Linked DNA regions of Drosophila melanogaster. The protein of the gene in region 1 purifies or fractionates together with the protein of each later gene. This does not show direct contact. Each region holds a gene or a part of one and is shown in the gene's direction. Other genes may lie near its edges.

Region 1 (8,531 bases):
CGACTGCTGCCGGCGGTTCTGGCGGGGATTTTACTTTCTCCAGCTTGGCCTTCTGTTCCTGCTTTTTCTGCTGCTGCTTTTGTTGTTGCTGCTTTTGTTGTTGCTGCTTCTGTTTGCGGCGACTGCGCTGCTGCTGTGCGGCGACAGCAGCGGCCGAGGAGCCGGTGGCCACCACAGATGAACGTGAACGGGATCTGGTGGTGCGCAGCAGGTGCTGATTGTAGATTCTCTTGGTGCTGCTGCGCTGCTGCTTGGATTTGGATTTCGACTTGACCAGCGACTTGGCCATAGACTTGGCCTTCGCCTTGTTCTTGGCCTTGCGCTTGGCCTTATTGTCCACGGGAAATATCTTCTTGCAGATGCGCTTGGCGGGCAGATTCTCCAGCATTTTCCGAATGGATTCAGCTACAAATTGGGTAATATTTAAATGTGTGCAAGGGAACTTGGAAACTCACAGCATACTCACCATCGCTGGGCCTTTGGCGTGGCGAGTTCTTCAACTTGGATGAACTGGACACGCTTTCCTCGCCCTCCGCCTCCGCCTCGCCATCGCCATCTACCTCGGCATCGCCATCGCCATCGCCCGTTCCCTCCTCCACTTCCACCTCCAGCTTTTCCTTCTTGCGGGCGGAGAGCTGCTTGAGCTTCTTGGAGAAGGCTCGTCGCTTCTTGGTGCCGCAGTAGTAGCGATACTTGCGCTTCTTGGCCAGCGACCACACATAGTCGCCGGAGCAGTCCAGCATGTGGCGATAGAGATCCATGAGGCCGCTGCACTTGCGACCGCACTTGGTGCAGCTGGAAGGAGCGGACGAGGTGGACGACACCGTCGTGGTGGCAGCGGAGGAGGTGCAGGTGGAGTTGGACATCGAGGTGCGGGTGGCGGTGGACAGCAGCGTGGAGGCGGATGATGAGCTGGGCGAACAGGACGACGATGAAGACGCATTGCCCGATCCCGAAGCAGGTGATGGTTGTTGCTGCTCCAGTGCCGATAGCGGAGTGGGTGTGGACACCTCGTATGATGAGCGTGACGAGGCCGACGACCTGGTCTCCTCCTCCGGTTGCACCTGCTCCTGCTTGGGCTGCTGCACTGTGGCTGCCGGCGCAATCTGCGGCCATCGGATGCAGTTGCTCGCGGCGGCAAAGCGACCCAGCGCCCGTTTCGGGATGAAGAGGTGGCGCAACAGATTGCCGGCCAGCAGCTCGCGTCCCACGACCTCGTAGTGCGTGGCGTAGATGTGCGAGTGGCGGAAGGTCTTGTGCTCCTCCAGCGACTTGCGCTGGTCGAACTTGGCGCCGCAACAGATGCACAAATAGAGACGCGGCCGTGCCCACTCGCCGCTGAGCACGACGGCCTTTTGGTTCCTGCTACGCTCTCGCTGGTCCCGCTCCCGCTGTCGTTCCTGTTCGCTGCTCCCGCCTCTTGGTTGGAGCTGCAGCAGGGAGAGAAAACTCTCGTCGGCGAACGTTTGCGGCAGCAGATCGTCACCGGGATGCGAGTCCAGGCCCTCGTCCTCCTCCTCGTTTTCGCACTTGATGACCGCCTGTTCGTTCTGCTCGAGAATGATGTGCGGCAGCAGGCGGTGGTCCAGGATGAGATTTAGCTGCTCCAGCAGGCGGCGCTGCTCCTGGTTCTGCTCCTCCGTCAATGAGAGCGAGAGATCGTGCTTTTGCCGCATCGTCAGCTGCGTCCACATGTCCAACTTGGAGAGATCGCGCAGTCCCAGGTAGTTTGGCTGCTTCAGCTTCTTGACCAGCCGTCCGCCCTCGTTGATCAGCGTGAACTTCTTCACGTAGTCCCACTTCCACTTCCAACTGTGCTTCGTGTGCGGTCTCCGGCGGAATTTGGCCAGCGGTAGCAGTTCCCCCGTGCCGCCAAATTGATCCGCGGTCAGTAGAGTGGGATAGGAGGCGCCGCCAGGCCCCAGCTGACTGGGTCCGTGCAGCATAATGAGGTCTGACTTATGGGATGCGGACGACGATGTGGCTGACGTTGTGGACGTCGAAGACGAGGTGAACAGCCGTCCGTCGAGGTGATTCTGGAGGTTGTGCCGTACATTAGAGATCACATCCTTGTAGAACTTGTCATCGAACACTGAGTTGGCGACGGAGGCGGATGATGAGACGCAGGCCATGCTGGCTGGCAGCCGGAAGACTGCATCCGGATTGACAGACTCCTGCAGAGCCATGTTACCCGCTGCAGCAGTCTGCTGATGCGACTGCGACTGTTGATGCTGATGCTGATTCTGTTGCTGTCGCTGCGTCGCCGCCCGACTGCTGCTCCGGGATTTGCTGCTGGGCGTGGCCAGGGGCGGCGGCTCCTCCTCCTTGCGCTGGTTTCGATTCCGATGGCTGGGCAGACGGTTCTGGGTAAGGCCGAGGCGAAAGAGCACCGGCTCGTCGGCGCCCATCAGACCCGGTTTGGTGGCATGGCCATCCTCCGGATGATGAAGCGAATGCTGCTGGCGCTGGTGTCCCAACAGGTGATCTGCGTCCTGGAACCGCAGGCGACACGGCTGGCAGGCGAAATACTTATCTGCATGCTGCTCGCTGAGGTGCTGGAATAGCTGCTCCAAATGCTTGGCCGGCAGGCAGATCTGCGGGGGCGTGGCCTGGCGGCGATTGCCTTGCTGGCCACACCACTGGCAGCCGGGGAAGCCGCCGGCGGGATGAGAATTGGAGCTGGTGGAACGACCGCTGCAGCGTCGTTCCTGCCGCTCGGTGTGAAACTTGTCCACATGCTTGGCCTGCAGCTTGCCGGAGGCGAACTTCCTATCACAGTACAGACACAGGACCTTCGAGTGCGCGGCTCCACCCAGGCCGGCGGCCTCTTCCCGCTCGCGCTCGCGCTCCCTCTCCCGTTCTCGTTCCCGTTCCTCCGTCATCTGATGCAGCTTCTCCACCAAACGGGGCAGCCGCTCCAGCGGCAGGCTGCAGATCAGCGAGAGCGGCTCTTGTTCCGCTTCCAGCTGATCCTCGTGCGGTTCCACCTCTTCCTGTTCCGCGTCCACATCCTCCTCCTGCCGGGTCTGTCGTTTTTTGCGCGGATTAGATGAGGCAGCGGCCGTGGCTGGTGCCGTTGCCGGTCCAATTGGATTCTTGCCGTTGACCTGCTCCTCCGAGAACTTGAAGCCACGGCGCAGGCCGAAGCGCGACATGGTCTTCATGTGGAGGCCACTGGGTCGTCCGTGGTTGCGTTGCACAAGTTAACTGCTTCGCCACTCCTGCAAGCAGTGCGGGGTGTGCGGACAACAATTTACTGCTGCACGCACACTGCTTCGTTCTTCCTTCTTCTTTTTGTTGACAAATAAACCGCAAGAAGAAGCAGCGAAAAACAAAAACTACTCACACACACGTACGCACACACACTCGCACGCACACCTGCTCAATTGGAAATTATACAATAAACATTTTCAACTCCTCGAATTGATCTCGCTCTGTTATCGGACACTATTGTTTTGGCCAACAGCTATATATAGCATAACTACCACTCCACTGCACAAGACCACACTGTCCACTTGGATATCCCGACTTGGTCTCTCCTGCGTATCTAAATACGTTTCGTTTTGTTTCGTTCTATTCGTTTTGTTCTGTGTTTCGGTTCGTTGTATTGCACTGTATTCCGGGATTTCACGGGATTGCTTTCCGTTTTGTTGTTTTGTTTCTTGTTTTTTTCTTGTATATTTTGTTCTTTTCGCTTGGATACGGACCAGACCAGGAGCGCCAACGGATCCGTATCAGTGCCTTGCACTTAAATTTAAGCACGGCATTGCAGCAGCTCGACCACCAGTGTAGCGCATTCAATTTTCCCTGGCCGTTCTTTCCACCCTAACAACTGCGTTAGGAGGTATCTAACGTTTAGCCCAAATCGATGCGTGCGTACGGCGCAGAGGGGGCGGCGGCGCGGCCAGAGGGGGCGGGGCACGGCAGCAGGACAACGACGACAACGACAACGATACTTTGTGGGAAACGTACTCGGAATCGGAATCGGAATCGTACTCGTACCCGTTCTCTTTCCCGTTCTGATGCTAGCGATATTGGGGAAACGATTTTTCGGCGACGGCGGCGGCATTATCAGCCATCGAATTGTGCTATATAAACAGCAAATTCGATTTCACTGTCCTACCAGCGCTCGTGTGTGTATATATTTGGTTCGTTCGCACACGCACACATAGCACACACAGAAGCAGCAGGAGCGACCGAAATGTTAAATGTGTGTGTTTTTCTACTCTTTTTTTTTCTTATGGGAAATCGAAATCGCGTCAAAATGGTCGGGTTTTGCCAGTGTGTACACACTTGTACCCGCTGGCGAGAAAGGTACTCGAACTATCGATAGTTGCGTCTCGAGCAGCGATACTTTGGCATGGTTCTACGTGAATTGCTTAGAATAACTTGCGATTTTATCAATTACTTATAAGCGATCTGCATTCGAAATAGTTTTTGTTAGTAATAAATCTGTTATCAGCTTTTGTTCCAATCAGAGCTGGTATATATCGGGCAATTATCAGACAGCTGATTTTTTCCCATCACCAGATGCTTTGAAACGTATTAAAAAATACTTTCCGGATATTAAGTGAGAAACATGACATGTGATATTAGATTTATTTGTATACAACATTTTAGCTTTACAGACTAACTGGTATAGGATATTGTCCAATAAAGAGGAGTTGCTTTCTTATCAGAAAGAGTATATATCGAAAAAAAAAACCGATTGAAAGAGCAGCACAATTTGATAGATAAATGGCCCCATCGATAGATCACAATCGATTGCGGACAGGGTTGCCACCACAACGCACTGCTGGCTTGTTTTTGACGAGTCATTTTGGTCGCCTCGCAGAAAACGCAAACTAATAAAACGAGACTCATTGCTGAACGAAAAGAATGCCGTACAACATGGACGTACTGATACCGGAAAAGGTGCGTAGTTGCCTCTCTGCGCCGCCTGGCATGCGTACTAATTACCTCTTTCCCAATTCCACTTTTTCCACCAGGACGAGCTCTCCGACTTGAAGCTAAAAGATGCGCACAGTTCCCTGGACGAACTGGACATGGAGGATCTCTACGTGCGTTACAAGGTGAGTCGTCCACTGGTCTTCCATTTGATCACCCATCTAAGCGGCCATTGTGTTGTAGAAACTGCAAAAGACACTGGAGTTCATTGAAGTGCAGGAGGAGTACATCAAGGACGAGCAGCGAAACCTGAAAAAGGAGTATCTGCACGCCCAGGAGGAGGTGAAGCGCATCCAGTCGGTGCCGCTGGTGATTGGCCAGTTCCTGGAGGCCGTCGATCAGAACACGGGCATTGTGGGCTCCACCACCGGCTCCAATTACTATGTGCGCATCCTGTCCACCATCGATCGCGAGCTGCTGAAGCCCTCCGCCTCGGTGGCCCTGCACAAGCACAGCAACGCGCTGGTGGACGTGCTGCCACCAGAGGCGGATAGCTCCATTTCGATGCTGCAGCCGGATGAGAAGCCCGACGTTAGCTATGCGGACATTGGTGGCATGGACATGCAGAAGCAGGAGATCCGCGAGGCAGTCGAACTGCCGCTGACCCACTTCGAGCTGTACAAGCAGATTGGCATCGATCCGCCGCGCGGCGTGCTTATGTACGGTCCGCCCGGTTGCGGCAAGACCATGTTGGCCAAGGCGGTGGCCCATCATACGACGGCGTCGTTCATACGCGTCGTCGGCTCGGAGTTCGTGCAGAAGTACCTCGGCGAGGGACCGCGCATGGTGCGCGACGTTTTCAGGCTGGCCAAGGAGAACGCGCCGGCCATCATCTTCATTGACGAGATCGATGCGATTGCCACGAAGCGTTTCGATGCGCAGACTGGCGCCGATCGCGAGGTGCAGCGCATTCTGCTCGAGCTGCTCAACCAGATGGACGGGTTCGATCAGACCACGAACGTTAAGGTGATCATGGCTACCAACAGGGCGGACACACTCGATCCGGCATTGCTGCGACCTGGTCGATTGGATCGTAAGATTGAGTTCCCGCTGCCCGATCGCCGGCAGAAGCGACTCGTCTTCTCCACCATCACCTCGAAGATGAACCTAAGCGAGGATGTCGATTTGGAGGAGTTTGTGGCGCGGCCGGACAAGATCTCCGGTGCCGATATCAACGCCATTTGCCAAGAGGCGGGCATGCACGCGGTGCGTGAGAATCGCTACATCGTTTTGGCCAAGGACTTCGAGAAGGGCTACAAGAACAATATCAAGAAGGACGAGCAGGAGCACGAGTTCTACAAATAGATTATATTAATTCATACACACTACTCCCGCCCCATTTTTTCCCCCAACACACTAAACTCTTCTTTGTACGCATAAAGTTATAAACATTAATAAAAAAATAAAAAAAAACAAAACAACTTGTAATCGAAGTGCCAAGCGATCCTTAATCCTAAACGAACCAACAGCCAACAGTGGGCAAAGCATTCCATTTACGCAACAACAAACTAGACAAAAGCCATATATTTGATTCGGTGAAAAGAGTGGATGCAAACAAGGAGCATTGGAAGGATAGCCGGATCGACGGCTGGCTTACTTCATCAGGGAATTGACCACGGCGTTCACATTGATGGCCTTTAGGTCGGCATACGTCTGACCCGTGCCCACGAACACAATTGGCTGGCCGGTTATGTAGGTCATGGAGATGGCGGCGCCCACCTTGTCATCGATGGTATCGAACTTGGTCAACACTATGCCGTCGATGATGTGCGGGTTCTCGTTGGATGAGTAGTCGGCCAGCGACTGATTGAACTTGACCAGCTGGTCGACGGCTTCGTTGCCCACCAGTGCCTCGCCCACGAATAGCACCAGATCCGGATTGTTCACTTTGATTAGCTTGGACAGGGAACGCATCAGCGGCTCGTTATCCTGCATGCGTCCGGCGGTGTCCACAAGCACCACATCCACTCGCGTATCGTGGGCAAACTTGATGGCCTCCATGGCAATGCCGGCGGCATCCTTGCCGTAACCCTTCTCGTACAACTGCACCATGTTGCGTCCATCGTGCTTGGCCGCCGGATGCAGTGCGTTCAGATGGCGTGTGTGTGTGCGCAACTGCTCGACGGCACCGGCTCGGAACGTATCGCAGGCGGCGATCAGAACGTTGAAATCGTTCTCGATCAGCCAAAAGCAGATCTTGGCCAAATTGGTGGACTTGCCGACACCATTGACACCGCAGAAGATTATCGTGTACGGGCGGCCGTTGCGCTTCGATTCGAGGGCATCGCGTATGATGTCGATGCGCCGTTTGGGCGATAGTATCCTCACCAGCGATTCCGTGAGCGCCTCCTTCACCTGGCTGGCGATGCTGTCGAATGTGCCCATTTGCTTGCCATCCAAACTGGCGGCCACCGAGTCGCACAGCTTAGCTGCTATCTCAGAGGCCACGTTCTTCGATATCAGATGGTCGCGCATCTTCTCCAGCGCCGGCTGCAAATCTGCCAGCGACATGGTCTTGGCGCCTACAATGCCCTTGAAGTAGGATAGCAGGCCACCGCGCTTGCCCTTCTTTGACTGCACCTGCTCCTCGGCCTCCCCCTCAGAGGATGCATCCTCGTTGTCAGCCTCGTCCTCGCTCTCCACATCCAAGTCGCGGATGACGCCCTGCATTGTGCCCACCAGCTGCGAGTATGAAAAATGATAATAATGAGTTCGTGATTTCACTTTGAATGCGAGTCGCGTTCGGGGAAAGTGAAAGTTAGTACTCACCTCGCTGTTGATGTTCTGGTACTGCACATCATCGGGCGAATCCCTGGAGCGATCGAGCAGAGCGGCATCCTTGGAATTACCGCCCAGATCCCAGACGCGTGGCTTCTTGCCGGCCTTCTCGGGCTTGCTGGACTTGGAATCACTGGGCGAGGTCTTCTTGGTGGGCGTGAGCTTTTCGCGCAGCTTGCGCCGTTTCTCCATGATGATCTTGTCCATTGGGGAGCCCGTCGGTGGCGACGACGGCTGTGATTTGGATGGTGGCGGGGCCTCCTGGATGTTCACCCGCTTCTCCACCGGCTTCTTGTCGTCCTGTATCATCGAGGCGACGGTCTTTTTCGATTTCTGTGACTCGTTGTAGGAGCGCATGGTTTTAGGTGCTTTCACTTGCTTGGCGGACGCCTCCTCCGCGGCGCTGAGCACGCGTCGATATTCGCGATCGAAGTCGTAGTCATCGCCCAGACGTATGTCGCCGTACTTTTCCTTGAAGGCCGCCTGCATGTCGGCCAGGAATCCATCTAGGTAGTTCAGTTTGATCACCTTCTGGAAAATGGCCGCATAGACCAGGTCCAGTTCGTTGTCCAGCTTAAACTGCACGGCCAGGTGGTCCTCCTCGTAGTACTTGGCCTCTGTGTTGCGCTCCTGCAGCCGCACAAAAGCACATTAGTGTCCATTGGTGCATTCACAACCAAATCCGTGCATGCACTTACCTCCAGAATGACGCCACGTATCAGGCTGTTGATGCAGGAGGCGAAACTGTTACCGGACGCGTTCGAGTGCCACAGCACCACTCCGCCCTTGGTGAATATCACCACAAA
Region 2 (7,084 bases), on another chromosome or scaffold:
ATATTGTGTATCTGTGTCCGATTCAAGTGTTTGAATTCCTCGGCTGAGTTCCTTTTTTCGGGCTCTTCTGCTGCGCTTCGATCACTGGAATTTTAAAACCGGATGCGTGTCATTCCTCTGCCCCTCCAAGCCCGAAAATCCAGGGGCATCAGGAATGCGGCTGCTGCTTCCTGCGGTTCATCTCCCTCCTCCGCTCCTCTGGACTCCTCTGGGTTCGAATCTGGTCTTAGTTCTTGGCTCGTCTCCATGCCATCTAATTTTTCTATGCCCATAATTTGTACTTCCCGCCTACCTCTTTTGCACGGGACCTAATTTGTAGATTCCTCCGCTGCTGCGGTTGCTGGTATCGACTGACTGGCCTCTAGCAGGTATAGGTGTATACTCGCCATATGGAAAGGGTCTTCCGGTATAGTTTGAATTGGTTAGGTTCGGGGTACGAGGCGATTACCATGGATACCTGGTCGGCCAAAACATTAATTACTTTGCAGTGCGCCTGTTCCGGTCCCTGGGGAGTCACCCTGTTGGGACACCCTGACTATACCTCTCTGTAAATCTACCTAAATTTTTAATGTTAATTTGAGCTTAATATAACCAACTTGTTTCTTGGTTTGTCTTCCGGGATGCATCTGCATCTCCTCTGCTTTCTGCTTTTTGGGAAGTTTAGGTCTTAATCTAGATATTAACTTCTATCTGATAGATTAGGCAGTGTTCACGTTTAATTTTATTAACTAAAGCCACATAAAAATGCATCGGAATAGAGTTTAATATTTTCACTGGTGTATCATTAATGTGAGTGACACACTAATTTCTATGATATTTTATTATTTAGGGTCTCTGCAGCCAATCGTAGATGGGGTCTAAGCCCACTTTGGTGACGGCGCTGGCCTCCACGATGGTCACCTGCTGGCGGATCTGTTTTTGCAACTTCTGCATCTGCAGCATGAGCAGAGCCTCGTTTCGCATCTGGCGGTAGGAGTAATCCATTTTGGCCAGTACCAACAGGATCTTAGTATTATGCCTGCGACGAATTTAACTAGTGCATGAGCTTTCAGTTCATTTCCACCTTACTTACTGCAGACGCGGCTCGGTGAGGATTGAATAGAAAAGAACGCCGGCGGCTGAAATCTGACAGAGATTAGAGGTGTCCACGACGTAGATCAGCTTCTTGACATCCTCGAAATACTGCCTCCACAAGGGGGCCATACTCCCTCCAATTTCCAGGATCTGTATGGACTTGGGCAGATTTTTACCGCCATGAGGAATGTTAGCTGGAGCTTCTGAGGGAGGAGGCTTATTTTTATCCCCATTTGGCGATTTTGTTGGGAAATGGATTCGGTAAATCCCAGTGCCAATGGTGGGCATGGAAAACGTGGTCTCATCGATGGATTCCGGATCCTGTAAAGCTTTCAAAAGGTGCGTTTTGCCCGCTCTTTTGGGGCCCAAGCAAATGCAGGTGGACATTTTTGCTTTTACTTGGATTTTATTTATGGATCTAACAAAGGTAGCCTTGGTTACCAAAGTTTATTAATTAATTAATTAAATTAAAATTGTAAAAGTTAGTTCAGTAAGCACGTACATGTTGTTATTTCTGGCTTATTTTATATATAAAATATTTACAAATGGTTGAACATTTAATATCAATCGCGTAATCGAAATCTTGTGTCAGTAGTTCAATTATTTTCTGCATGATGGCGCTCTCAGGAAATCAGTGCAAACGTTTGAACTGCGTGCTTCGGGAGTCACGAAACTCGGAACCATTCGGCCACACTTCATATTAGCACATCAATGCATAATGACTATCGATAAAACATCGATGTATTTTTCATCGTTTTTTCATGCTGTCTCATCGTAAACAATATCAACATTGTTAAACGCTTTTAAATTCTCTCAAAAAATGAACCACACAGCAAACAAACCTCGACAAATCGGATTCGACAGGCAGTTCTCAGCGGACGTGAACGGCGTTCCCACGGAGATAGTGTTCCACTGCTTTGCCAAGAAGTGGTTCTTAGTCATAACGCAGCTCGGCAAGATTCCCGGCATCTACAACGTGCACTTCGATGTCAAAAAGGACGAAAGAGTGGTTCCCTATTTGCACGGACCCGTGGACAATCCGGAGTTCCACGTATCGGTGCCAATCACGATGAACTGCTGCTTGGGCTTGGACACCGACGAGACTCGCAGCGCCATACAGTTTCTGGTCAACAGAACCGGACTCCACAAGTGCCCGACGGAGTTCGTGGTGGGCTTGGGTCTCAAGAAAATCGACGGACCCAATCTTCGTGCCCTAGCTAAGGTCCTCGAGGAGACGTTATTCTAGTCTGCGTTCGTTATATCCAATAAATATTAGCTGTGACAGTTTTTGTAAAAAAAACCTTGAACATTTTAATCGTAGCCTTCAACCCGGCTGACCAAATTATTGGCCATTCTACTGCAACCTCTTTCATGTGCTTAAAAACCCAAAATAGAATCTACTCACAAAAAGGCAGTGGAATGACCAATAACATAGTAAACCATAATAATTCTGCACCGTTGTGAAAGGAATGAGTCTCGATAATTTTTTAGCAAACGTCTTCTATATTTCCTCACATTTGTACATTAAAAACGTGTACGCAGGTCGGGAAACGGGTACACGTCCACCTCTCGAGGATTACAGCACAAACACAACGGATGTCCGGTTGTCGAGAAGTTCTCTAGAGGATTTAGTCGAACAGACCGAAGCCCATGTCGTCGTCAGACTGGTCGGACTCCTCCTCCTTCTTCTTCTCCTCCTTCTTGGACTCGGCGGCTGGAGCAGCGGCGGCGGCAGCAGGGGCAGCACCACCGGCGGGAGCGGCACCAACTCCGGATCCGATGTTGGTGATCAGGTCCTTGACGTTGATGCCCTCCAGGGCCTTGGCGAAGAGACCGGGCCAGTAGGGCTCCACCTCGACGTTGGCGGCCTTCAGGATGGTGTTGATCTTCTCACCCTGGTGAATCCAAAAAATAAGATCAGCACAAGTTGCAGCAGTGCGAAAGAAACCATAGGACCCGCAAATTGTCCAATACTTCCGGCCGATGGCCGCGGCTTTGGAGGATTTGCTTCGTCCCCGATTGCAATATCGAAAAACTTACGGTGACGGCGACATCGTCATCGACGAGGATGAGGGAGGCGTAGACGCAGGCGAGCTCGGCTTTGGTGGACATGTCGAAGTGCTGTGGCTAATCACTGATTGTGCAAGTTGCCAAAAATTAATTGTTTATAACAAATGGCCTTAGCTCGGGACGAGAACAAGCACGCTGGTCAAAATCCTAAACCGGAAAGAGCAGTTGATATGCAGTGTGACCGCGCCGATGACGAAGAAAAATACCAACCGTCTATGAAAATTTGCATATTATTGTCAGGAAATACTAGGTAGAGGAAAACTCGTTCAAACTGCCGAGATTATCTCTTATTTAAACTAGTTTATTTTTAAGCATCTTGGACAGAAGCCTTAGCATAATTCTCTGGTTATATGTTTATCTCTCTATTTTAATAAAAGACCTTTCCGTACGGTTATTGAGAATATTAAAAAAAAGATATTTTGGTATAATGACGAATGAGTCACACTGCAACTTTATGTATACAATTAGTGTGCCCATAGCGTCGTTTAAACGTAAACAAAAAAAAAGCGCGCGAAAATGTCGGACCAAGAAGACGTAGTTGTAAAAAAAGAAAAAAAATGTATAGAAAATATTGATGAGAACGACGAAGAGCCCGATGATGTAGATTTTAAGGACAGCGGAAAAATAAGCTCCTTGAAGGCCCTGGGTCCATTTATAGCCGGCAAGGAGAATAGCCGCAACACGGTTTACCTCAGCGATGTTCCGGATATTTGCAAGGATAAGCCGTGCATGCTGGGCGTGGACGAAGCAGGGCGTGGTCCCGTCCTGGGACCTATGGTATATGGGATCTCCTACTGTCCACTGGAAAGTAACAAGGCTTTAGAGGACCTGGGATGCGCCGATTCCAAACAACTAACCGAGGGGAAACGTGATATCATATTTAACGATATCAACACCAAGGAATATGCGACCAGTTGCGTTGGCTGGGCCGTGGAGATCATATCGCCGAACACGATCAGCACCAGCATGTACCGGCGGTCGAAGTGCTCCCTGAACGAAGTTTCCATGGACTCGGCCATGGGCCTTATCCAACAGGCGATCGATGCGGGCGTCAATATAGCCGAGGTTTATGTGGATACGGTGGGTCCGCCGGAGAAGTACCAGGAGAAGTTGCTCAAACGTTTCCCCAGCTTTAAAATCACCGTGGCGAAAAAAGCTGACTCCACCTATCCAATAGTCTCTGCTGCTAGTATATGCGCCAAAGTTACCCGTGATCATGCCCTCAAGGTGTGGAGCTTCCCCGAGGGCTTGGTCATTAAGGACAACGAGTTCGGCAGTGGATATCCGGGAGATCCGGTCACAAGAAGATTTCTGACCGAGTACATCGATCTAGTGTTTGGATTTCCACGACTTGTGCGCTTCAGTTGGTCCACCGCGGAAAACGCACTGGCGGACAAGGCCTATGACATGGAGTTCGACGAGCCGGATTCCGAGAAGCCCAAGTACGCCGGCACCAAGCTCACAAAGTTCTTTAAGGGCACAACAAAATCCGGCGAAATAATTCGCGAGGAGTGCCGCTTCTTTAAGCAACGCCATCTGGAAAGTGTCATGGAGTTTTAGCAACAAATGAAAATAAAATTAAGTTCAGGAGTATCTATATTTACAAAGAATAAAGTTTAATTTAAGTACTTTAGTATTAAATTTTAAAATGCTAAAATACAAAAAACACCCAGGCCCAAAACGAAAACAGATTAATTTTTATCTTTAATGTATTTTTGCTGATGTTCTTGTGTTTCCGCCAATCTCGTGTTCTTAATAATTACGTTCGATTACTGACTACGTGGGACTGCAGTTACACTGTTCTGAATGTATGCGTGAATCGGTCTGATCTGATCTCTTGGCATCCCTTTTTTGGAGGACAACTGTGGAATTGGGTAAAGGACTTTTGGTGGGGAGGGCGGGGAGTTGGCTGGCATCTTTGATCGATACAATAACAAAATGCAAAGTTATACTAAACGATTTTCGTATAAAAAGGGACGACCTTAGAAACATGGAGCTTATGATTAAGATTAAAATGAGGCGAGTCGCATCCCGCTGATCTGAAGAGAACAACAACCATGTTGAAGCCCCCAAAAATCCCAGGTGCATATCGATATTTTGTGACTCGAAACTAAGCGTACGAAATAGACGTGGACAAAAGCGGGAGGATCTCATCTCAAGAGGTATACCTTAAAGAACTAATTAGAATTTAAAGCAATTACAAATACGATTGCAGGGCGGGATAGCTAAGAAAGGAGTTACCTAAGGTCCGGACTCCAGATCCAAATCGACTTATGTTGGTAGAATTGTAACTGATCATATTTCACTTCTTTAAAAAATATAGTTAAATGCAATTTTTGAATCAAAAGTAAAAACTTCTCGTTCCGTAAGAAAGTGAAAAACTACCGATTTCATTTTTACCAAATAATGAGCTGGAAAAGGAATCTTGACTATTTTAAGCGTTGGCTCAATACACGAAATCCAGTTGTGGCTGCTCCGGCAATCAGAACTTTCGCAGGTCCAACACGAAAACGCTACCGTCGGAGGCACTGGCACCCACCTTAGTGCCCTTGGAGTTCCAGCACACCTCAAAGATTCCGCCCGTGCCCTTGTAACTGTGCACTAGCTGTCCCGTTTGCGTGCTCCAAATGTGTACGCACTTGTCGAAGCTGCCGGAGGCCAAATGCTTTCCATCCGGACTGAAGGCCACCGAATAGACTGGCTCTGTGTGCTTGGTGAGCGTGTGGATACAGCTGCCCCTCTCCACGTCCCACAGTCTTACCGTGGAATCGAACGAAGCGGATGCGAGGATCAGGTTTGTGTTTGGATTATTGGTTCCCGGCCCCGTGGGCGACCATTTTATCGTATAGATCTCCTTTGAGTGAGCCTGCAGATCGTGGCAGCAACGATCTCGGTTCATGCTCCAGATCTTGAGGGTCATGTCATCAGAGCAGGACGCCAGCAGTTGGCCCTGCGGACACCACTTGATTGCATTCACCTCGTTTGTGTGTCCTTTAAAGGTCTTGATGGGTTCATTTACACCCAACCGGCACACATGTATCCGCTGATCCGTACTGCAAGAGGCAAAGGCCTGGTTTGTCTGCCAGTCCACATCCAAGGCTGGAGCACTGTGAAAGGCAAATTGCTGGGTGCATTGGCCCGTGGATGCGTCCCAGATGATCGTCGTCTTGTCCACGCCAGCCGAGAGGATGTAGTTGCCGCACTTGTTCCACTTCAGAGCAAAGATCGGACCCTTGTGTTGTCCCAAAGTAGAAGCAAGTCGACCGTCGGTTTTCCAAATTCGGGCGTAACCATCGTAGCTGCCGGTGGCGAGCAAGGAACCATCGCACTGCAAAAACGAGAATAGATTAAGTAAGGATCAGAAATCAAACTTTGCAAGGCTTAAGTGCCAAGATCTTCGACTTACATTCCAGTCCAGAGAGGTGACGTCCTTGTTGCTAGGCACCTCAGCGCCGCCTTTCTGGATGCAGTGGCGCAGCACCAACTGGTTGGAGTTAGTGTTTGCATCGGACATGTCCCATATCCTAGCAGTGCTGTCTCCCGAACCGCTTGCCAGTAAATCCCGGCTAGGATTCCATGCGCAGATAAACACCTCGCTTTCGTGGCCGCGTAATACACGAGCCTTGGATTCGGGTATTTCGATGTTCTCGTCAATGTCCATGGGAACAAGAGCTGCGGGAGTCCCAGCACCTCCGCTGGTAGACGAGGAGATGGTTCCACTGGGAGCAGAGCTTTGAGCATTGGACGAACCAGACTGCACGTTGTTTCCTTGGGCTCCTACGCGAATCGTAACCGCTCCACTTGGCGCCTTTGATCCTGTTGCAGTCGAAGCTCCGCCCGATGCTGCTGCGTCCGGATTGGAGGTTGATACAGTTCCACCAGCGGGCGTCAGCCCGCTTGTAGGTTGTTCTACGCTGCTGGAAGTGCTGCTATTGCCATT
Region 3 (8,856 bases), on another chromosome or scaffold:
TGAACATGAAAATGTTGACAGGTTTTTCTTCTTTGGCGACCTCATTTTACAACAACATCACAGAAGTCCAGAGATAAAATGAAAAGTTGTGGCCCCTGTCAGTTTTGATCGAAGAGTTATGCAAAAAACCCAGCATGGCTTCATCTTGCTCTTCGAAAACGTGTCTTTACTTTTTACTCAATAACCATAAACTTGAGCTGAGTTTCGTTATGATGCAATCTCTCTAATTAATGGGTATTTAAGCGTTTGGAGATAGATCTCTTTAAGATTGTTGCAAGCCAATTAGAAGTAGGAAATCGATTTGTTTTAGTTGGTTAAGAAGTCGTTTTTTTTTTTTTTTGCCAAACTTTTGCCAAAAACTTAATTGGCTAGTCGGCCCAAACGCATGCTGGTGTGCCTCAGTTTTCTTTAGCTTCGGTTGCTGCAACATCTTTGCCTTGTTTGCATCTTTTTCGGGCTCTAATGCGGGCCTAATAAACATAAACTTTGATATGTTTATGCCAGAAGTGCGTGCTGGTTTCGTGAGATGCTGGTTTGTTTGTATTTGCATGCGGTCGGTTGGCTTTTGTTTGCATTTGCGTTTTGTGCTTGAGCCGGAGATATTTGCATTTCAAAGTGAGTCCACAGACGAGACTGGGTGATTTGGGGGGCCAAATTGGGGTACAGACTAATTCGAGCCGATTGAACATCGATTTTATAGCCCCATTTTTTCGTTACGACCATCCGCAACAAAGGGTTCGCATCTGGCCTTCGATGGAAGTTGGCCTAAAGCAGCGGAAATGTATAGCCATCAATGCAATGTGTGGATGGCGATGGCTTGGCTTTGCAATACCGCTTGAAGGTGATCGGAAAAGAGGCAACGACGATTTCCAAAGTCATGCTCTCAATACTAGAAATCAATGGGGGTGCAGAGATATGAAATACCTCAAATATACGCAGACTACACTCGGCAAAAATAAAGTATCTTTTAGATATATAAAAGTATATATAAATATATTCCATGTTCTTTTTTTTTTTTTTGATTTTTACTTTTTTTCTTATATTTCTTGGCTTAAAACCCTAATATTATTTGGATTTTTTTCTGAGTAAAAGCTTTAGAAAACCGTTTGTGCGGGTTTACTCATCGCTCGGCGATTTACAATCGCAATTTGCCACAAATAACAACAATTATGCTTGCCATGATGACGATGATGATGAAATTGCAGGCTGAAAATCGCGCACGCGTTTTGCATGCGACTTGGCGCGCGTTTAGCTAATCGCGCAATCTTTGGACGGGCGGACAGACTCACGTACGCAGGTGGCGGCGGCACATGACCAATTTCTGTTGCCAACACGAAGAGCAGGAGGTGCAGATAGGCCAATACAGGCGGCGTAAAAGAGATGCCGCACATACAGGCGCGCCGAGCGAACTGCGCATGCGTGCGGTTTAAAACGCGTGCAAGTCGCGCGCTTTTGCAGGTGGCGGAGAAAGTTACCAGCACTGAAACCACTTTTTTTTTCGGTCCGTCGCTGCCTGACTATTGTTGCTGCGGCTGCCCAAACTACATCGGTTTACATATATATACATATAATATATACACATACTTCTGGTTAAAAAAAAAAAGTAAAGAAAAGAAACGAGAGAGTAAAATGCCAGTCCATTAAGCCAAAAAAGAAGCGCGGCCAGCGTTAAATGAAAATAAATTTGTTTAAAAAACCAAATCAAAGTTGGGCAAAGCCAAAGTCGCACGGCGGTGAGAGCAAGAGTTATGAAATCGCCGCCAATGGAATCCCAAGTTGAATTGGTATCAATGAATTCACAGTGTGGGTCAAGAAAATATGAGCAATATTTGCTTTAATAGTATAAAAAAAAATAACTAAAGGCTAGATTCTTTTCCGAAATTGTGGAAATATAGATACTTCATCATATTTAATCCATCATAGAATTAGCTACTAAAAACATAAAAGATTGTATTAAGTCATTAAATGGATCTTATTTGTGCACCTCTTGAATGACGCATGAATGAGCTGCCTTGCAGGGTGATCTATCTATTTAACTATTGACATTGACGAGAAGACTGCAGTTGCTATAATTTCGATCGCGGCTGCCTGCCCAAGAGCTTGGCACAAAAATCGAATATGAACATGCGAGAAACCAAGCCGAACCCAACTCTTTCGCAACTCGGGGCAACTGGATTGGCCTGTAATTGAATAATATTACTACTTGGCTGCAGCAGCAACAAAAAGTGAGCAACAAAATACAAAAAAAAAAAAAAAAAACAAGGAAGCGGCAATGCACTTGACAAAGCTGCTTCACTTGTTGCAGCAGTTTTATGGTTTATGTTTTTTCTACATCTTTTTCTTTTGCTTTTGTTTGGTTTTTGTGGCCACTGCATCGGCGGCGACTGTGTGGCATTTTTCACTTTTGCTTTTAATAGCCAGATGCTGTTGCTGTCTGTCGTCTGGGACGGAGATGAAGATGAAGTCGTCATCCGACGGCGTTTTTTTTTTCGGAATTTGTTTTGGATTTTTGAAATTGCCGCTCTTCACATAACCGTAATACGCCTTCAGCCGGTTTTCATATATACCATACATATCCATATATATATATATTATAGTTGTGCATCGTTTCTGTCGCTGCCAGATGTCGCCCATTTCGATTTTGGTAAATTGGTAAAGTGGGGAACAGGCCAAGGAAATCAACTGCTACATCGAGAAAGTAGTAGTACTTTCTTTCTACCAAAAACGCACAGTGGCGTCAGGAAATGAAAAGAAATGTTGACAGCGCAGCAGGATGTTACAGTAAACTCTGGCCGATTTGGTTCAAGTGTTTTTTTTACTGCGAAGGACGCACAAAATAGGCGACATCTGTGCAATATTACTCAAAAAGAAGGCATTTACATACTGTAAAATGCAGTACAATTCGGTTGATATATTTCGTTTATGTACAAATCCATACAAATGTTGAATCTTCCAATTCAATAGCTTTTTGAGTTCCAAATTCTCTATCAGCTCGAAAGTAATTTAATTATCGTTTCTTTACCCAACGCTCCTGTGCTCAAGTGGCTTTTGCTTTTCAAAGAGAAAGTTGTCCAACACCCATTGCAAGCCAAGAACTTTTAATAGACGGCGGCGACGTGGTGCCCACTGAGTGATAAGATTGGGGAGCCCCAATTGCATAACTGTCTACTAACCAAATAGTGGGATACAATGTACAACCAATTATGCAGTTCTCAATGGAACGCGATCGTATCCAATGGGAACCGCTGGCCCAATCAGTAGGGCCATGCTGCTTGGAATTTCGAAGCCAAAAGGGGGAACCTCGTCGGGCAGAGTAGTGACCCCCAAAAAGTCGAAAATAGAACCCAGAACTAACCTTGCTTTTCGACGAGGAATCGATCGTTTGCTTGGAGATCGGTGACAAATAGTTGACACGCGCCTTAATCCACAAAAGAAATGCTAATGAGGATCTCTTTTGGCGGAGTGCGGTTTCCAGTTGGAGCGGTCGTTGTGGTCGCTAACTAGTTCTTCTCAGTTTGTCAACTTTCTGCGAACAAATCCACATAGTTTCTTGCACGACGCGTTGTTTGGCTTACATTTATATAACCACTAATTGCGGCACTTTCGTTCGCGAAATTCGATTGCTACTTTATTTGGCTAACAAATAGTTAAATGTGCAAAACACACGACAGCTTTACTTTTTTTTAGTTAGTTCAGGGCGCACACTCGAGTTGTTGTATTTGGTTTTGTTGGCAGTGCTGCTGTGGCCCGGTTAAATATCGATATTCTCGCGGATCGGGCTAACTGGCTAATTGGCTGCGCGGCGACTCTCTGCCAAGTGGAATCCTGGAGTGCGGAAATATAAACTGTTTCGCTGCGAGCTCCAAAACGAATTGAAACGTTGTTTCTTCCGCGTACACAACTTCACGCAGAAACAGCTGTTCGGTTAGTGTGACCAGACGGTGAGTACAACGTAAGCCCAAGCCCCGCAGCTGTTGTTATCGAATGAGTCATCGAGTAGTTTCTAGGCACTGAAATAATATCATAAATAATGCTTTCCATGTGATATAAAAATAAAAAATACAGCCATTTGTTATTATGTAAGCCTTTTTTAGTTCATAAATAAATTTTACATAAAAATTCGCCCAAAAATACAAAATACCAAAATAAGCTAAAAAAAAACAAACGGCCACACAAGCGATCTGTCAATGTGACAGCTGCGTCGGCGATTGTGATTTGCAATTTTTGTAGTTTGGGAATACATTAAACATTACATTTGAAATTAATTCAACACAAAGCGCAGTTGCGATGTCCAATCCTCAGCCTAATGTCACCGCCTATCTGGCGACCCAGAAGAAGACCACCAACAAAGAACTCGCCGCCGAATGGACGCTCATCGAGGAGCTCTACAATGAAAAGTTAGATCTGGGCTTTAAATTTCAATTTTCCTCTTGTAATACAATTATTTTACAGACTCTGGAATGAGCTGACCATCAAACTGGTGACCTTTGTGCGCCACGAATCCTTGCAGGACGAAACTGCGCTGCTGCAGCTCTACCAGAATTTCCTGTCCACCTTCGAGACCAAGTGAGTCGGCTTCTGCAAATGACTCGGCAGAATCTAATGTATTGTATTTGCAGAATAAACCCCTATGGCCTCATCCAGATTCTCGAGGTGGTGGTTGACAACATCGGTGACAAGAAGGAGGCCATCGAGTTCTTGGAGAAGATGAAGGACAAGGTGAAGATCTGCGACGAGGCCGTTTGGTATCTGCAGGTGATGCAGGGTAATCTGTACCTCAGCAACCTGAACGATCTGAATGCCACCAAGAAGATCATCGAGGAACTGCGTGATGTCCTAGAGGAAGCGGGTAATGTGACGCCCGTTCACGGCAAATACTACATGCTGGCATCCCAGTATTATCGGCGAGTGGGCAAGCACAGCGATTACTACCGATGTGGCCTACAGTTTCTGGGCTGCTCCATGGATGAGTACCCCCGTGATCAATGGGCCCAGCAGGCATTCTTCTTGGGTCTGGCTGCTCTCTTGGGCGATGGTGTCTACAACATAGGCGAATTGCTGGCTCATCCCATTCTTGAGTCGCTTAAGGGCACGGAAAATGAGTGGCTCATGGAACTTCTTAAAGCCTTCAACACGGGCGATATTAACAAGTGTGTAGTAATAGCAATTTAATATCTGCAGTAACTAACACTTTCTATTATTCCTTTGCAGGTTTAATGACATGAAGAAAATCTGGTCCAAGATTCCCGATTTGGCTGCCCAGGAGGTCAAGTTGCGCCAGAAGATCTCCCTCCTTTGCCTCATGGAGATGACCTTCAAGCGCTCAGCCATCGAGCGAGCCATCTCCTTTACCGACATCGCGCAAGAGACCAAACTGCCCGCCAAGGAAGTGGAACTGCTTATCATGAAGGCTCTGGCTTTGGATCTCGTCCGCGGCGAGATTGACCAAGTGGCTGGAGTGGTTAACATGTCGTGGGTGCAACCACGCGTCCTCAACCGCAGCCAGATTGTCGGCATGGCCAGCACTCTGGACACATGGATGGGCGCCATCACGAACATGGAGAAACTGATGGAGAATCGTGCCGCCGAAATCCTCACCAATTAGTTTTAGTTTCGCCTGATCTAGACGATCCCACATATTCACATTTTGCGCGAATGCTTTTGTATTTAATTAAAAACCCAAATACTGTATTCATTTCTTTTCATATGTAATTTAACTCCCTGACAGTTGCGTGTAAAAAGTTTTTTTGTGCTTAATCCTAGCTTATTGGCTAAATCAGATCACTTATGGAGGAGTTGCTGCTTATGATTAGGCCTAGGATTATTTACAATTTAAAGAAATACGTCAAATTTGGCAATAGACTCTGGTTACCTAACAAGCTAAAATGTCGATCAATAATTTGGAATTTGCTGTAGCAAAAAACGCGACCTGCATAGCACTTGGCCGCCAGCACACCAGAAATCAAATGTTCAGGCAACGCAGCTTGGTGTCGGGCACACGGGAGGTGAACTCGAAGGATGGCGGGCGGCGGATGTCCTCGTGCGAGTCGCGGCGTATCCTATCTGGATTGCGGCCCATCACAGATGACAGAGGTATTTGGCGGCGGTACAGTTCCTCTAAAACCAATTGCTCCAGCTCGAACAGATGATCGTCCCTCACGCCGGGAATCTCCTCGTGCATGAACAGGGCCAGGCGCAACAGGTACTCGGCATTGTGTCCGCTGGGACCGCGGCAGGATACGATCTGCTGGGCAATCTCCTCGACCGGGTCATCGCCCAACCAATAGATATTCTCTGGCGTCGCCACATAGACCAGTACCTCGACCGCCTCGCCGCTGAAGGGCGTGTCCTGCGAGGCGACGCGCGGGAAGAACTTGGTATCGATTGTTGCATAGCCACCTGTTGGAGTCATCGTGGGTTAGCTCAAATGATGGTCCCCACTTCTCTTCAATTCGATTTACTTACCCAGTGTGCACTCCCGCTGCTTGAGATAATCCAGTGCCGTGCTGCCTGTTATTCTGTAGGCGCAGCCCCAAGTGATTCCCTGCAATCAAAAATGGGAAATGTATATTTAATAAAATACACAAAAACATGTGGTTCACATAGATCTAAAAATATTTAATGAGTTCGCCCCGCGCGGGTTTTGAACCCGTATCTTTCGGATTGGGGTGTGCTATTCATATCGCGTTCGGCTGGTTATGATTCCCAACTCGTTTTTCCGCTGATGGCGCGTATAAATAGCGCTGATAGCAGCAAATGTGATGCCGGTTTGAGTCTTCCATGCTTGTCTCTCGGGGCCACAAAACGAGTTCCTGGTAACTCAACTGATAATGCCCTGGGCGAAAGTCCCCGGGCCTAGGATAGAAAGTATCAAGGTGTAAAAAGTGTGCACAAAACACCCACCACCCCTGTGGTGGGTGGTGCATTCGCCTATATTCTGCGGAATTTCGCCTGGCGTATGGATGAAGAGGATTTTATCCGAATCCTTACGCGCCAGGTTGTCTGCGGAAATCTGCCAGAGTAATCTTAGATATGGACGAGTTGGTAGGACTCGGCGGGTGGTGTTCACACACTTTCTCGTCTGAGAAACCGCCTACACAGAATGGGGCTTACATTGGGAAACTCGGACGGCGCACTCCCTTTTTTATACAACGATATCATAACATATATATATATAACCCCCACCCCCCTTGGAATCATGATCTTTATACTTTACTCACCTCTTTGTCCTCAACGAGCGTTGCAACACGTCCAGGCTGTAACAAAGAATAAAAGTACACATTAGCACTGGGCTGTATTTTATACACTTTCGTTTGTGGAGATTGTGTATTCATCGCCTGCACAAAGACTTGGGGGCTAGCTAGCGCGCTTTTTGTTTACCTTCTGTATATGTGCATTATTTACGACATTGCACATGTATATAACTGGGGTTATACATACATATTATGGACCTTGACTTATTTCGAAATTGTTGACATTTGTCGCGATCGCAGGGAAAATAGCCGAATAAGGGATTTCAATTCCTTTATTACTATTTATTTTTATATTACATTTTGCCTTCGTTTTTCGTTTTTACTTGGAAATGCTTAGATTACAAGCTTGCAAAAATAGCATGACCTCAATTGAGCACCAAAAATTATAGTATTAGCACCCCACCCCCCTTAAAGAATACAAAAATATTCCAATTTGGATCCCAAACTGGTTCTCCGAAACGAATTGATATCTATTCGAAAGGGGCTTGTCCTGCCTCGATTAGCAACAATCTGTATCTTAATTGGCAGTCGCTCTAGACGCTGGTAAATGCTAATTTCACTTGTTGTTCACCATTAGCCAAACACAACTGATAACGCGCGACGAATAGATAACGCGTGCCTCCTGATCACTGAAAACTGGCAACTGTTCAAAACAAACAGCGGAGGTAATAAAATAATTACCAGATCACCACCGCTAGTTGTTGGGTAAACACACGAGCAAAACGTCAACAGACGCGGACCAGACGTTTCTAAATCCACGATTTGGTTTATCCCACCTACCTTCTCTTCACAGCCGCGATGTGTGACGTTGCCCTGCCAGAAGCGGCGAACATATCCTCGAATATATCCCGTAATGCACTTGGTGTAATTAAAGCCAGGATGCCAGCACAAGGATCCGTAACCGAAGACCCAGCAGGCGGGATCCGAAGGTCCAGCATTGTTATTGTTACTGGGACGATTCTCCTGCTCGTTCTGGTCATTATTGTTGCTCTCCTCCGCCGCACCCAACTGGCCATTGGTGAAGAGATCCTTGAAATGGGACGGCACCGTCGCCGGCTGGCGATGACCACTGAAGTGAGCCATCTATGGTAACCAGAATTGTGCTCCGAATACGAGTTCTTCACTTTTCTGGGCGTTGTGTTCTGACTGCGGCACCTGGCTGAGATCAAGACGGGGATCCTGGTTCTGCTAGCTGGACATTCTGGTGGCTGTGGTCTCCGGCTCCTAGCCTAACATTGCTCGCCGACCGTTGGCTCCAAGTGCAATTGAGATTCTGTGGATGGACAGGGCAGAGTGATGTTACATAAAACTCGAAATTTTGCTTAACTATCTACGACTTGTGGGTGTGAAACCCAAGGAATAATTTTTAGCTTAAGCTGAAATTTGAACCCCGGCTTACTTGTAGGTGGTTTTGTACAAATGCCTAGTGTTGTGTTGTGGTGTTTGCAAATTTTCTATATTTTCTGTATTCCCGGTTGATCTATACTTATTTTAGCTGGGCTGGTTAGTGCTCTTGCGCCGTATACGACCAAATAGTTCCGCCAGCGAACGGGAACTAAACCGCCCAGCGCGAAAATCGAAAACATTTCCAACGCGTCGCCGT
Region 4 (8,157 bases), on another chromosome or scaffold:
AGCTTACCTGTTCCAGCCTATAGAATGGCGAAAACTTCGTATCGAAAAACTCTCTCTCCAGTCTGGATTTTGAGTTCGGCGAAGCCCAAAGTTTAACCGGATCCGTTGTGATTTCTATAAAGTTGATGCCATACCCCAGTATAACAACCAGGGATGCTCCGGCAATTAAAGTCAAGCCAGGATTGCTAGCAAAGTACGTTCCCCATTTGGTGAAGAATGTTTCCAGGAAAGTTTCTGTGTGGGCGCCAAGTTTTTCAAAGTATGAATCATTCTCGCTGTAGGGCATTTCATCGGAAACATCATTGCCATCCACTTGAAAGTTGTCATCTGAAATAGGGAAATTCATTATATTTCAAGCTACTAAAATGGTCATTCATTCATTCATTCATGAGTTTTGCAAATTATTCACACAGAAAGTGTAATTTGAAGTACACTTAACATTCAGATATGAAACTAGTGACGAATAATTTAACTGCGTAAAACTCACCCATGGACGAACCTTGTGTAAACAGAAACGAGCCCATTAAGAATACTAAGACTCCCACCAAGAAGACAGCTGCCATGATGACGAAATAGGCGTCGAGTCCAACAATTTTGAAGGGCTCTGGACGGGGCGGTTCCGGCGGTCCCTGGGGACAGGATAGGTCGCAGTCCGAGCAGGAGCACGCAGGTAGTTTGCTCTACAAGCAATTTATATATTTAGCACAAAATGAAATGAATTTCCAATAAGGATAGTAGGTACATACGCTAACTGCTTGGTTGCAAGGAACGGTCGTTACATTGAGGGGCGTAAAGTTATTGCTATTTGATTTGGGCTCATGTTGAATATAGGTAATTTGAAAAGGAACATATGGATTGGTGGCATCGCCCATAAAGTTGAACCATTTTGTAGGATTGCAGCGAGATGCTGAGTAAGCGCCGCACATTAAATCAAAAGCTAATTGACCCGTTTGCGGTACAGAAACCTATTTGAACACAAACAATAATTATTTTCGATCAATGAATAATGTATATGGAATCCAGAAGTACCTGAGAGCACGATTTATAAGTCTTGTTGATGTATTCCGTTGATATATGCAAGTCAACAGAACTTATGTACTCATCACCTGAAATTCGGAATATATAATTATTCAATAATTAATAAGCTATTAATAATGATTACCTTTCTTATTTTTCTGCGTGGCCACCACATGCATGAACTCAGCCTGCTTTGGTGAACAGGTGAATTGGCAGATGTGCCGCACCAAGTTCTCCATGCAGGATGGACATCGATCCAAGATATTTCCGGCCAGCTCCACATTCTTATTAAGGAGCTCCACCTGCAAAGGCATTTGTTTGATAATTATGACGCCTGGGCAAAGCTAATGCTACTCATAACCTGATTCTTATCGCAGCAAAATTTGTTTTCGCTATTCTCCAGCAGAAATCCACAGCGTTTCTTCAGCAGCTCCAGACCGTCAGTTGCCATTTCCTTCGCTGTTCCATTGTACGGACAGTTTTGGCTGTGCGAAAAGTCATTGGTGTTGCACACGCCATACCAAACGCAGTCCTTAAAAAGTTGCAAAATAAGTTAATAACATTATAGAGCAGAGATATGTAGAGTGAGCTAAGCTAAGTTGAAGTCTGGTTTTTAGCTATCTTTTTGCTGACCCCAAATACCTTTTTCAAATTTAAATATTACTTCCAAAACTAAGTACGTCATCTCACCGCCACCCAGAGCTATAAAAATATATATTTTTTCTAATTGCCTTGCATCTGTTTTAGCTCATTCATTGTTGAGGTGAAACAACAGCTTTTCCAATACAATTTACCAGTCCATTTTCAGAAATGATTTTACGACGACTAATCTGCGCGATTAAAAACCCAGTATGCTTAATATTGATAAAATATTGAAATTTAATGATAAAAACCAAATGTTAGTTTACCTGTTTCGATGATTGAATTAGCGTAAAGAGCACAGCAGCGATGAGGATGTGTACTCCAAATGGAGATATCCTGAGCGGGGATCTTGGACTCATTCTATCACAATCGCATATCTGTAAAGAACGTTTTTGGTTAAAGTATGCACCTGGGCTTACTATTATGTATGATATTCGAAGTAAGAGTCTCGGTTTTCGACTAAGAACTGAATCAAATGTAATCCGAGCCTGGCAAATTCAACGTTTTCGCTTACACAAATAAAGTACACTTCATGCAAATTTGCGTTTAGCCAGATGAAACCGTTTTCCAACGAATTAAATAAACATTTATTCCAGCAAACCAAATATATATATACAAAATATACAACGAAGTGAGTTTTGGAACACTTGCAACTCGCAATTGCGATATCTGGCGATTAAATTGTTGTTTAGACTCTGCAGATGCGCTGCAATTCGATAAGCAGTATTCCTAATAATAGAACTGCCTCCTAAGGAAAGAATAACAATAAAACTGATTCATTGCCACGCTTCAATATCCATTCAGTTTCAGTCAATATATATTGCTGAATGGTGTAATCAAATACTCGAAATTATAATGTAATCAAAACAGTGCACATTATATGGTTGGGTGGTTTAGAATTTCGGATAATCCCTCCACTCATTAAAATAATATATACCGATATGAAAACCAAATATACCAAAATAAAAGATTGCGTTTGTTTCGAATTTGTTTAACTTTTATTTGCCAAAATGTTTTGTATTTACAAAGAAAAATGTTAGTAAAATTTTCAAAAATACCACATGTTTTGTTAGGCATGAATATGAATTAATAAAATATTATTCAAAATTTCTAAGAATGCTAAAATTAATAGCGGAATTTTGACAAAACGATGGTTAAACTTTTAATAAATTAATATTTATAAATCTTTATGACTTTGTGTCATAAAAATCAAACTAGAATATGTATTAAAATAAATTTAAGATAAATCTAAACAATTGCATTCGTATTTAAAAAAAAAGATGAATGATTTTACTATCTTGTATACTGAAAATATTCTATAAAAAATGCATGACAAAAAGAATTGAAATAGTTTTCGAAATCGTACACCTATGATTTGTGTGCTAATTGACACAAAATGCGTTTTAATATCCAAAAAACTCGTGATCCATTAAGAGCAGTTCAAGAATTGTGACCCAATGGTCAATATAGAGTGAATCCACGAACACTGAGACCATTTGATACCGACTAGCTAGGTTAACAAGGTAGCTGGGCATGGAGCTACATACATAAGTCGGGTTTGGTCTTTGACATTGATACGTTAAATTTCGCGCTAAAACGCATTGTCGTTAACTGGCTTTCGTTATATGTATCTACAATACTAAACGACTACTGAGAAAGTGATGATGCAACTAGTTGTCTGATTTTATGGAGGGGGAAATTCCATTATGCTCGCTCGCTACGTACTATGTACAACTTCTTGGGAAATCGACACAACCGCTTCGATTGCCTTTTTTCCCTTCGCCACATGCAAATTTGGCTGGTGGTCAGTCGCATTTGGTAAATGGCATCGGGAATGGGATATGATCAGCGGATTGAAATATTCTGTGCTGGTCCATTCACGATGTTTTATTTATATATTTATTTTGCGCTATTTGGATATGTAGCTAAGCGGATGTCACGGAATAAAGCAATCTTGTAGCGAAGATATGGGAATACGGACAGCGAACAGTAGCCGCATTGAAGGGCACGCAATATAAGTATACTATCACTTTCACAGAAATCGTTAATTGTAAACATTAGTAATGCGCCGAACCAATAAAAATGTTTTCTTTGTTCGTGCACATACGTATATAGGGATATTATGAGGTGTACATATGTATGTAGCGGTTTGTGTGTATGTGTGTGTGCAATGAAGTCACCTTAGTTAATTCCTTCAGTTAATTAAATTACACGGCTTTATGATTAAGGTGCGCACGAAAATCTTTCTTTCTACTAATCTTAACAATGCAATTTTGATGCTAACACTTTCGAGTGGAGGTATATATATAGGCGAGCATATACCCTCGACAAACAATCCGATTACGGAGCTACAAACCCTCGGTCCCAAAACAGGAGAGAGTGAAAACTAACTGAAATATACAATTAAAACGTAAACACTCCCACTGACAGCTTATCAGACTTAATGGCAAAACAATCGATTGTAGTCGATATGCAGTGATTCCGAATGCAAGTTGGGAACAAGCGAATGGAACAAGAAATTCATTTAATTTTTTAAGTATGCAGTTAATAAATTAAACTAAATATAACTTAATTGTTAGTTAAGTCCCGATAAGCCGTTATAGTTTAAAATTGTATTACTCACATGGTATGCTGTAATTGTTGGTCAATTAAACGTGTGTAGTCAGGTATAATGTGGTGCTGGAATTAATTTAACTACGATTAACAAGGTGCTCATACAAGTTTACTGATTATAATTAATATCATTATCCCCTTAAATTTGTATGCATATCCTACAATGTTCTATTGCATCGTTCCAAAAATGATAGCATGCCCGAATCCCTTATCGATACCCGATACACAGTTTGTTTGTGTCTCCCGGCGTGCCATAACTAACTATCGGGCATTTCTACTTGTCATCATTGAGCTCAGCGGCTTGCATTTCAAAAGTCATGGTAAAGTGTTTATTGCGAATAATGGTGTGCTAACTGCATTTGTTACAAACTCACATCTTTGCTTTCAGTTTCGCAACCAGTACGATAGCGATGTTACTGTGTGGAGTCCGCAGGGACGTCTCCACCAGGTGGAGTACGCAATGGAGGCCGTGAAACTTGGCACCGCAACCGTGGGCCTGAAAAATAAAGATTACGCTGTACTTGTCGCCCTGTGTAAGCCGACATCGGAGCTATCGGATACCCAGCGCAAGATCATCCCAATCGACGATCACCTGGGCATTTCCATTGCTGGCCTCACGGCTGATGCCCGCGTCCTTAGCCGGTACTTGCGCTCCGAGTGCCTGAACTACAAGCACTCGTACGATACAACCTATCCAGTCTCGCGTCTGATCACTAACCTGGGCAACAAGATGCAGACGACCACTCAGCGCTACGATCGCCGTCCGTATGGAGTGGGCCTTTTGGTCGCCGGCTACGATGAGAGGGGTCCGCACATCTATCAGGTCACGCCATCGGCGACCTTTTTCAATTGCAAGGCCAATTCGATCGGATCGCGTTCACAGAGTGCACGCACCTATCTGGAGAAGAATTTGAACAAGTTCTTGGACAGTTCCAAAGATGAAATCATCCGTCACGGAATTCGCGCTATACTCGGTACCCTGCCTACGGATGAGCAAGGCAAAGATGCCGGTCAGTATGTAAGTTCATTGCACATTTCCCGTCGCGAATAGTTAGTAAATTGTGTTTTTCTTGCAGGACATCACTGTGGCCATCGTCGGCAAAGACCAGCCATTCACAATTCTCTCTAATAAAGACAGCGCCAAGCATGTGGCGATTGCCAAAGAGAATGACAATGATACGCCCAGGAACGACGATGACGATGATCGCCCATCCCCCCCAGAGGAACCAGCAGCCGGACCACGCGACCCAGAAGTCCTGGTTGCAACCGAGCAGCGTCCATAGGCATTTATAGGGCTATGAAAGCATCTTAACCATTAAAAATGTAAGATTCAAGGATACAATAAAATTGTTCATGCATTTGCATAGATCCTAAAACGGAACAAACTGAATAAATGAATACAAAAAATCAATGTTATGGGTAAAATTTTTTGATTTTAATTTTAAACCTTCATTTATTATTTATTTATAGTATTTATTAAATATTGGTTTTTCGATATAAGTTTTCCCAACTTATTTGCATTTTTCCGATTTCACAGTTCGGTCACACTGTTGGATTAAAAATATTTATCAATGCCGGTATTGAAACATTTCTACTATAAAAAAATGTTGATTGCTTTTAGTGAATGACAAGTTATCCTCTAAGATGGTTTTTATGCCAAATAAAATGTGCCACTTCAGCGGCAACTTGTATATTTATTTGCTCACACCTAAATTACAATTAATTACATAACGAGAGTGATGGCAAATGGTTGATTTAAATAATAAAATTACATGGTTTTCTCATGAGAAAATAAAATTGTTGGTGCCTTTGCTGAAGCGCACGTAAACAGTATATGTTAGACTTCAGTTTTATTTGTTTAAAAAGTTGCTTCGAAAAGATGTACCATTGTTTACAGGAGGAACCCATGTTTTGGATGATAGATTAAGCAACAGGTGTTGTTTTATAGGGTTTTATTGCCGAAAAAGAGTAAAACACTTTAATTAAACGTTGATCCTTGTTCTCGGTTTTTGCAGACAAGATGACTTTGCCCGATCTTGTAGCTGGACTTTCGTCAAATCCCTACTTTGGTGCCGGTTTTGGACTATTTGGTGTGGGCGCCGCTGCTGCCATATTGCGCAAGGGCCTCCAGGGCGGAGTGATACTGTTCCGGCGGCACTGCATGATTACCCTGGAGGTGCCGTGTCGGGACAAATCCTATCAGTGGCTGTTAAAATGGATTACGATCAGAGGAGCGCGAAAAACGCAACACTTGAGCGTGGAGACAAACTTTGTGCAGAACGACAATGGCACAATCAAAACCAGCTATGACTTCATACCCAGCATAGGCAAGCATCTGTTCCAGTACAAGGGCAATTGGATTCAGGTGGAGCGGACCAGGGAACAACAGACATTGGACCTTCACATGGGTGTTCCTTGGGAGACAGTGACGCTTACAGCGTTTGGTAACAATAAAGGTATATATTTCGATATCCTCGAAGAGGCTAGGCAGCTGGCTCTGGAGGCCACAGAGGGCAAAACCGTGCTGTACACAGCGATGGGTGCGGAATGGAGACCCTTCGGACATCCGCGCAGAAGGCGTCCCACTGGATCGGTGGTGCTGGATCGCGGAACTTCGCAGCGAATCATTGCCGACTGCCAGGACTTCATTAAGAGCTCTCTGTGGTATACGCAACGTGGAATCCCCTACCGAAGAGGCTACCTTCTGTACGGGCCACCTGGTTGTGGCAAGTCTAGCTTTATAACCGCCCTGGCGGGCGAACTGGAGTACAGTGTCTGCCTGCTAAACCTATCCGAAAGAGGCCTCACCGATGATCGACTCAATCATCTCCTGAATGTTGCGCCAGAGCAGAGTATCATTCTGCTGGAGGACATCGACGCAGCATTCGTCTCGCGCGAAGCTACTCCGCAGCAGAAATCCGCCTTTGACGGTCTCAACAGGATAACGTTCAGTGGACTCCTAAATTGCTTGGACGGTGTGGGCTCCACGGAGGCCAGAATTGTCTTCATGACAACAAACTACATTGACCGCCTCGATCCCGCCTTAGTTCGTCCTGGTAGAATCGATTTAAAGGAATACATTGGCTATTGTACGCAATATCAGTTGGAGGAGATGTTCAAGAACTTCTTCGCCAGCAGTGACACCACAAAAGCCGAGGAGTTCGGAAAACGAGTGAATTCCTTTGGACGCTCCGCTAGTCCGGCGCAAATTCAAGGCTTTTTCATGAAGCACAAACTGTCCTCGCCGCAAACTGTTATTGATTCTTGTGAAGATATCTGGGAAAATGTTTTAGATCATAATAAAAAGATTAATTGAATTGTTGTGGATTTTGTTTACTTGAAGCTCTTTAAGACAAGACTGATGTCCCTTTTGGGTCTTAATTAATTAAAACATCTATCAATTTTACTGTCATTCGATATTAGTTTATGTCATTGTTTTCGAATTTATTTCATTTTTCAATGATTTAAGATTATCCATTCGTTTTTATGCATAGTTGCACGTGTAATTCCCAATCGAACTCACCTAAATGAAGGTCTTGTTTTATATTATGATTTAATTACATTTTTATAGGTAATTTAAAAATATGAACTATGTTCTAAAATATATGTATATTTTATGTGACATTAAGTTTGATTAGTCCTTTGATCTTCTGGGCCTACCGACCTTTCCTTTCCTTTGTCCAAGCGTTCCATTCGAGTTGGCGGGGCCCTTAAGTAATTTGTGCCAATCTTGTTCACACACCAAGCTAGCTCCTAACATAGTATACCTGCAAAAAGAAAAAGCAATTCCATTTCAAATTCGCTCTTCACTGCAGTGTGTTGTTAGGCATACCTATCACCAGGACGCAGACTGGATCCACACTTAGCACAACTAAAGCACCTTAG

The links.
Region 2: the proteins of Rpt3 (region 1) and CG11885 purify together in Drosophila melanogaster (affinity purification with mass spectrometry, with the first as the bait; one large-scale study listed by BioGRID). This does not show direct contact.
Region 3: the proteins of Rpt3 (region 1) and Rpn9 purify together in Drosophila melanogaster (affinity purification with mass spectrometry, with the first as the bait; one large-scale study listed by BioGRID). This does not show direct contact.
Region 4: the proteins of Rpt3 (region 1) and Prosalpha6 purify together in Drosophila melanogaster (affinity purification with mass spectrometry, with the first as the bait; one large-scale study listed by BioGRID). This does not show direct contact.

Annotation. Positions count from the first base shown.
Region 1 is NC_004354.4:11,120,435-11,128,965, forward strand, and holds Rpt3 (regulatory particle triple-A ATPase 3), read left to right. Parts: upstream 1-4,666; 5' UTR 4,667-4,878; coding exon 4,879-4,914; intron 4,915-4,988; coding exon 4,989-5,072; intron 5,073-5,130; coding exon 5,131-6,252; 3' UTR 6,253-6,351; downstream 6,352-8,531. Other genes in the region: CG11122 (uncharacterized protein), read right to left, coding at 1-405, 467-3,164; SrpRalpha (signal recognition particle receptor alpha), read right to left, coding at 6,541-7,629, 7,717-8,355, 8,424-8,531.
Region 2 is NT_033779.5:416,177-423,260, reverse strand, and holds CG11885 (uncharacterized protein), read left to right. Parts: upstream 1-1,810; 5' UTR 1,811-1,894; coding exon 1,895-2,320; 3' UTR 2,321-2,366; downstream 2,367-7,084. Other genes in the region: CG13692 (uncharacterized protein), read right to left, coding at 826-1,018, 1,073-1,461; RpLP1 (ribosomal protein LP1), read right to left, coding at 2,703-2,969, 3,115-3,186; CG13690 (uncharacterized protein), read left to right, coding at 3,661-4,704; ebi, read right to left, coding at 5,627-6,472, 6,551-7,084.
Region 3 is NT_033777.3:23,728,337-23,737,192, reverse strand, and holds Rpn9 (regulatory particle non-ATPase 9), read left to right. Parts: upstream 1-3,730; 5' UTR 3,731-3,941; intron 3,942-4,181; exon of another isoform or gene 4,182-4,282; 5' UTR 4,283-4,287; coding exon 4,288-4,397; intron 4,398-4,452; coding exon 4,453-4,566; intron 4,567-4,619; coding exon 4,620-5,150; intron 5,151-5,211; coding exon 5,212-5,605; 3' UTR 5,606-5,818; downstream 5,819-8,856. Other genes in the region: CG10365 (uncharacterized protein), read right to left, coding at 5,963-6,399, 6,466-6,544, 7,221-7,256, 8,034-8,336.
Region 4 is NT_033779.5:10,216,854-10,225,010, forward strand, and holds Prosalpha6 (proteasome alpha6 subunit), read left to right. Parts: upstream 1-4,497; 5' UTR 4,498-4,589; coding exon 4,590-4,592; intron 4,593-4,660; coding exon 4,661-5,290; intron 5,291-5,348; coding exon 5,349-5,555; 3' UTR 5,556-5,693; downstream 5,694-8,157. Other genes in the region: Npc1a (Niemann-Pick type C-1a), read right to left, coding at 8-327, 488-680, 747-965, 1,030-1,106, 1,163-1,319, 1,379-1,549, 1,926-2,018; Bcs1 chaperone, read left to right, coding at 6,293-7,588; CG5708 (uncharacterized protein), read right to left, coding at 7,907-8,039, 8,105-8,157. UniProt on the Drosophila melanogaster protein: The proteasome is a multicatalytic proteinase complex which is characterized by its ability to cleave peptides with Arg, Phe, Tyr, Leu, and Glu adjacent to the leaving group at neutral or slightly basic pH.